Daphnia pulex: one gene and its partner. Each later gene encodes a partner of the first gene's protein in a complex. Links are inferred from orthologs where the notes say so. Each region holds a gene or a part of one and is shown on either strand. Other genes may lie near its edges.

Region 1 (3,274 bases):
CACGAAGACACTCGCGCCACCTGGCGGATGGGGGGACAATCCGCCGTTATGGCGACCGTATAACTCCGCCGACAATAGAACCCAAATATTTTAAATTTGAAAAAATTTCTTTGTATGCGACAGTAGAACTCCAAAGACATAACATGAAATAAGAGCTCCTTTTTTAAATATTATTAAAAATACCCGACAATAGAACTCCAGTGCCCGACAGTAGAACTCCACTACGCGACAATAAAACTCCAATAAATTCTTTAATTATTTTCATGTTCGACAGTAGAACTCTATTGAATTTTAAATATTTTAAATGTCCGACTATGGGCCTATGGCAGAGAAAATTTCCGCGTTTTGGGGCAGGAAAAGTATGTAGTTCTATATTTGATTGCTAGATGGCGTTGCGAAACGTTTATTTTTTTTTCTTTCGGCGTGCAATAACAAACCTTCGAAAAAACAGAAGTCGAGAATCGGTCGTCATTAGTTGTACCTATATCTCTACTTTCTTTCTTTTTCTTCAAGTTTCATAGTCGGAGAAATCTGTAGTGAAGACCACCAGTTGTTCTTCTCATCTTCTGTATTGCTAACATCACTGTATTGAAATGGATAAAGATTGCCTAGGTTGTAGGATTGTAAGCGGCTCAGGTACAGGACATATGACAAACCCGTGTATTTCGTAACAGATATCAATATGTTTAAACCACAGGTTTAATTGGAGCTGCTGCGTACATAGCACATCAATCAAAGAAATCGGTTCACAAATGGGGAAGGCTTTTTATGCAAATCACTAGCTTTGGTACTGAATTTCAGATGAAAAGTATCTTTTTAATGCAAAATGATTTTTATCTACTAGGCTTTGCATCAGTGGGTGCAGCAAGACTCTTGAATATTTACCCATTCAATGTGACTCACAAGAATTTGCAGTTGGAAAAAAAACAAGAAGGAAGTTAACAGTGAAAAATGTTTGGAGTTTAACTTGTTAGCCATGAGAAAGAAAATACACTCAAAATCCAACTTTCCCCAATTTTGTGTCTGTTTTGGGATTAGCAGTGAGAGCTTGAACACATACAAGGCACTCATTGATTTTGGTTTGGAGATCTCTTAGATCATGAATGAATAAATAACGAAGGACATTTGCAGCACTGCTTACATTGGGGGATTTTATGTCCAAGCCAAAGCTGATGTTTTCAAATTGAACAGGGTTTCCTGGATTCTTGGTCTTCAAGGCCTCTTTCAATGCATCTTGACTTAACTTTTCTTGGATTACATTGCAAATTCCTTCTAATGTCATTAGATGATCTGGATGTCTGGGAACTTGAAGAAGGTTAGCCAATTCAACAACCCCAACTTTGAAATCTTCACTTTCAACTGCATCAAAATGTAAAGAATTCTTAACAATGATTTAAAAAATATTGAAATAAAAAGCTCTTACAATCCAAGTTGTCAAGTGGATTTGATTGCTGAGAAGTTTGTTGTTGAATCTTAGGACTTGAAGTGTAGCTTTCGGGTTTCTCATTGAACTCAAATTGCACTGCCAGCCCAAGAAGCCAGTCTACAATTTCCGGCCTAGAACCATTGGCAAAAGGGCAATCCAGATCCTTCAAATATTGTTCAAAAGCTTGGTTCCACTGTTCGGCAGTTGTATTCCTTAGAGATTCCCTATCTTCAATCTTGTAGCGGCGTACCTTCTGATCTTCCAGCCAAACAATAGTGCTTCGAAATTGCTTTTCGTCTAAGTATAAAGAAACAGTGGTAGTTTAAATCTCATTGCAATAACACACTTATAATGTAATACCTGCAGTATTCAAGGTATCGGGATTAGGAAAACCCAATGCTTGTAATTTTCGCTTGAACATTTTTAACGCAATATTTCGAGTGAATAATTTTTTCCACAGATGAGCAGAAATTGTGAGATGAAAAATAATAAGTAAGGATATTGATTGTGTGCTCCCTGAAAAAGTCTGAATGAGTAATAAACAGGAATGGAATGAACGACAACGAACCGACAACGAATGACGATGGTTCAGAAAATCTGTTTCGTCTGCTTATTTTTGTACTTGTCGACATGTGCTGTTGTGCAATGCCAAATTTATTAAAACTCAACTTTCAGAATTTGAAAAATTGTAAAATCGAATTTCGGACCAGTTGCAGATGGACATAGAACTACATAAAATGTCAATGAAATTATTGAATCAAGGACAATTTTCAGAACAGTCTATTAATTTTGAGAGATCAAACAAACAAACAAAGATAAAACATCTCTAGGAGTCTTGGACTCTAAAGAGCGAAAATTTTAAAATCACACCAATTAGACTAAAGGATAAAAAGGAGGGTGCAGAATTTTTAAGGTGCAGAAAAAAGATAATACTGTAGTTGTAATATTGATAATAGATATAATGACAATCACAGCATTCGTTAAATATTTGCTTTTGAAATAACCGCTAGTTAATTTCAAGGAGAGGGCATACAGCCCAAGCGATCGAAAGCAGCTTTTTCAAGTTCTTCTCGATGATCTGGATGGGCGATTCGGATGAGTTCAAATGCGCGCTGGCGCAGATTTTTACCGAACAAGTTTGTATAACCGTATTCGGTTACCACATAGTGGACGTGGGCACGTGTTGTAACAATCCCAGCACCTTTATGTTGGAACAGAAGCATCGTTTAGCCAAATCGACGTGATAAATGCATTTATAGAAACTAGGGGGACGATACCTTGTTTCAAGTAGGGTACAACTTTTGACTCGCCCTTTTTCGTGCTAGATGGCAAAGCTAGAATTGGTTTGCCACCGTCGGGACAAAGTCCCGCTCCACGTAGGAAATCTACCTGTCCGCCGACACCTAGTTAAACAACGTCATCCATTTCAAACAAACGGTTCAGTAAAATATTATTTGTGTTAATACAAGCTTACCAGAATACATTCTGGTGCCTATAGAGTCGCTTACAACTTGACCAGTTAAATCTATTTCAATGCACGAATTAATGGCCGTCACTTTGGGGTTTTGCGCAATCAATGAAGATGAGTTAACCCACTGAACATCACCCATGACTGCAAAGTAAAAGATTTAATAACATGGAAGAAAAAATCCGTTAAAGATGATGTGAACTGAATACCAATGAATGGGTTATTGTCAAGGAAATCATAAAGTCGCCGGGATCCCAAACAAAAGCTACCGACAATTTTGCCTATGGTCAAAAGTAAGAGAGAACAATGAGGCCGTGTTTAACTACGCTAATAGTGGTACTAAGATACCTGGCAATATTTTCTTTTGGCTATTGGTTATG
Region 2 (3,807 bases), on another chromosome or scaffold:
GTTGCATTTCATGCTGAGCTTGGCAATAATCTTCGCTGCCCAAATGAGCTACCAGGTATCGGTGCCGCCACTCCTGGCAACGCTAAATGGAGAGACAAAAATGATTTAGAAATGTTGGTAACGAAACTTCTTATTAGATCACACGAAATCTATATGATAACAAGTGAACAACCAACCTCTACGAAAACGGCAAAATAATTACTAGGGAAAATAACTAAGTCTGTTCAATCGCCCTTTCCACTAGAGCTCGCATCTTCGAACTAAATGAAGGGAAACCTTCAGTGCTTCAAACTGGGGTATAGAGCTTGACCTACTAACCTCGAATAATTCTACACGTATTAGCTTCAATGTCACCTATTCACCGTTTCAAGTTTAACTAAAAAAGAAAACTGGATTTCCTTGTTTGCCGATTGCCGTAACGTACACACAAGTGTTTTGTAAACAGTCAAAGGCTGGCCCAGAATCGGGGAAGCAAATTTTTCGTGAAGCTTATTTTTCAGTTGAAAGACACGTCAACTAAAAATAACTCGTCTTTCGCAGGCGAAAAGTCACGAGAATGAAGTGCGTACTTATTTTGGCCACTTGCTGGCCAACGCGCAATACTGCGGCTCGCCTGGAAACGATTGGAACGTTTTGGCAAATTTCCCAAGAGCCAATTATAAATAATATTTTACTTGGGTCAAACTAGAAAAGTTTTGCATTGGAGCTTTAATCTTATTCTGCATGTAATGAAAAATGAAGTAGTCTACTTTTTAGACTACACACTTTTAGAATTAACCAAAGTGCATAGTTATAGACCGAAACACAAATACAAAGGAAACCTAGTTGAATATGGACCATGAGAAATATGTGATTCTCATTGATAAAAGTAGAAGATGTCTAAGTGTCAAATTTCTAAAATCTATTTCCCCAAGTAGTTCACGCTATTCTGATGTTGAAGACAAATGCAAGTTTAAAGCAAGGGTGGAGTTCACCATTTCATACGTTTCAAAGACACACAAAACGTTACCTAACAACTAGAACTACAAAGGCTTCTTGAACTTGAACATAATTTAGGTTGGTAAAAAAAAGTACTTATAAATAACTGGTAAAATAAAATACATCCCCAATCAAATTTGTTACCTGAATGATGCCTGAGCACATTGAAGTAGAAAAACCAACGGCGAATGGATACAAACAGTCAATGGCGGATGTAAAGAGAAATAAGACGAAAATACGTCCTCTCCGTTAAGACTTGATTAGGAGAAAAACAGAAAAACTTGTAACATTTTAACTAACGATTATTAACTGTAGCACTCATACCTAAAATATGCATCAATGACGACCACCAACCGTTGGTTATATGTGGAAATGACAACCAAATAGATTCGCCTTTATCTCTGACGTTAATTCACAAGTCCAACTAGTCAACTATACTAGTAGGTGACTGTCGCTACCGTAGTTCACCGATAGTGAACGAGTCGAGAAGATATAATACTGGGAAAAGTTCGAGCTCTGTGCCAGTGGACTCACTGACAGGAAGACATCTAGCGGTAAAGCAAGTAAGATTCTGTACCCGGAAGGCCGGAACTAGCGAAGTAGCGATGGTCAGCGGAAGTTCATGTTAAATTAAATATAAAGCGAAATCATTTTTTTTACGTTGTACGTATTTCTGATGTTAAACCATAAAGTAAACGTACATTCTTGGTTAAACTACCTTAGCAAGACGGTGAAAAAACTTTCTTTTACAGCGGCATCTATCGTGGATTGAATTCAAATATCAGTATTGCCACGACATTCCCTTAAAAACGTTTAAACTCCTTAACCGACCTAACTAAACAGTGACCTAATTTAAATTTTAAATGACCATTTTTGAATGGTTGTGCTAGTAGATTTCCACTACAAGGCTGTCAATGTTGCATAAGAGAAAACCTTCATTATTGTCACAGACAGAAGGAAGATGTCGTTATAATCGAGTTTTTACTGACTCGTGGGCCGTGGCTTTATTTACCTACTTTGATCACGTCTGCTTTCTGCTAACGTTCATTCAATTTAAAAAAAAAAACGTGTTTATGAAAGAGTACAATCACTTTCCTAACTACAAAACTAATGTATATAAGTAAAAGGATTAAAGAAGTTGGTTGAAATTTGATAAATGATTTAGATTCCTTAAATATATTCTGTTCAATTTCTAAAATATCCAGGCATCAACTTTTGCAGTTATACTTGATAAACATTTGAAAAGATTGCTCCCTTCCCTTTGGAAATGACAGATCTAACTGAAGAGGAAAAAAAGATTCCTGTTGAGAAATATGAATGTAAGTAAAATCATGATTTAAAGTGATTAATTTTGAACAGTGATTTAAAAAAAAAATTGAATTGTAATCTTTATTTGCCTCAGATTTGGATCATACCGCTGATGTTCAGTAAGATTGTTCAATTATTCTTTTTTTCTGTTGGCTAAATGTTTTACTTTTAATAGGCTTCATGCTTGGGGGGATTCCTTGGAAGAAGCCTTTGAACAATGTACTCAGGCCATGGTAATACTAGATTGCCACATATCCATATTACCTACTACCATTATTGTATATTTGCTCCTTTTCACTGATTTTATTTTTAGTTTGGGTACATGACTGAAATTGATAAAGTGGAAATCTTGGAGAAGCATGAAATTGAAGCTCAAGGAGAGGATATTCAATCATTGTTGTTTCATCTACTTGATGAGTTCCTTTTCCTTTTTAGTGCAGAGCCATTCTTTATTGCTAGGGTAAAGTCAACCTTCCACATGATTAAACTATTGATTTATTCTATTCAAAATTTTCTGTGTAGAAAGTGAAAATCACAGAATTTGATCGCGTCAACTTCAAAATTGTGGCAACTGGCTATGGAGAAACTTTTGATTTGAAGAAGCACCCTCAGGGAACAGAAGTTAAGGCTATCACTTACTCTAACATGCAAGTTCATGATGAACCAAATTTGCATCAAGTCTATGTTATCATTGATATTTAAGTGGGAAAATGTGAAATACATCTGGATCAGTTGCCTTATCTTAATTTATTGATTGGTAAGCCTTTAATTTTACATTATCAGACATATTTTGCAATTCATTTGATATCTTTGTAAGTTCTGGGAATCTGGTATTCAGATCTTGAATGCTGGTGTCTAAATTTTTCTTATACATAAGTAGGTCATTTAATTTTTGGGTCCATTCATTTGTTCCTGCATTTACTGAACATACATTATCTGCATTAAAATATGTTATTTAAGAATTCATGATGAAATTCAAAAACAGAACTTCAAAGTTTACCTTGCATATCCAGAGCCTGGACTACATCTGAGTTGTTAACACAATTCATCATGTCTTTTTCCTGTTGCTCTGCAGTTGGAGGACTGGGCCTTTGTAAAAAAGTTGGCTTCCATTGAAACATTGTTTTATGTTACAATATTTTACCCTGCTATAGTCACTATAATTTGTAATAACACAAATTCAGAACGTTTTTAGATTATACGTAATTCAATTAATAGTGAAAATCACAGTTTTCAGAACTTAAAACAAAGTTCAAAGCAGACAACATTCTCAAATCTCGGGGTTGTGGTGTTGACGTGTTGTGGACTTTGGTGGATGAACGCACCAAGCGGGCGCGTTTATAACTATAAAATTTGATTTTTGTGAGGTCTAGGTCTAGGAAAACGTCATTAACATGTAGAAATTAATTCCCTATTGAACAATAATTATTGTTTCATAAAATAGTCATAACTAGCTTTTAAGAGGGGTGATTTTGCCGTTTTGGGGCGTTAAGGTGTTTGAATGGGAGTGATTATAAGATT

The links.
Region 2: RNA transcription, translation and transport factor protein-like (region 1) and protein archease-like share a complex: the UniProt entries of both Homo sapiens proteins name them as parts of the tRNA-splicing ligase complex. The link is inferred for Daphnia pulex from reciprocal best matches to the Homo sapiens genes RTRAF and ZBTB8OS.

What each region holds. Positions count from the first base shown.
Region 1 is NC_060020.1:507,453-510,726, forward strand, and holds RNA transcription, translation and transport factor protein-like, read right to left. Parts: upstream 2,066-3,274; 5' UTR 1,848-2,065; coding exon 1,787-1,847; intron 1,724-1,786; coding exon 1,424-1,723; intron 1,360-1,423; coding exon 995-1,359; 3' UTR 647-994; downstream 1-646. Other genes in the region: 4-hydroxybutyrate coenzyme A transferase-like, read right to left, coding at 2,443-2,627, 2,704-2,829, 2,901-3,038, 3,104-3,175, 3,243-3,274. UniProt on the Homo sapiens protein: RNA-binding protein involved in modulation of mRNA transcription by Polymerase II. Component of the tRNA-splicing ligase complex and is required for tRNA ligation.
Region 2 is NC_060024.1:1,631,793-1,635,599, forward strand, and holds protein archease-like, read left to right. Parts: upstream 1-1,522; 5' UTR 1,523-1,541; intron 1,542-1,951; exon of another isoform or gene 1,952-2,115; intron 2,116-2,183; 5' UTR 2,184-2,245; coding exon 2,246-2,297; intron 2,298-2,380; coding exon 2,381-2,405; intron 2,406-2,461; coding exon 2,462-2,519; intron 2,520-2,599; coding exon 2,600-2,746; intron 2,747-2,808; coding exon 2,809-2,988; 3' UTR 2,989-3,032; downstream 3,033-3,807. UniProt on the Homo sapiens protein: Component of the tRNA-splicing ligase complex required to facilitate the enzymatic turnover of catalytic subunit RTCB. Together with DDX1, acts by facilitating the guanylylation of RTCB, a key intermediate step in tRNA ligation.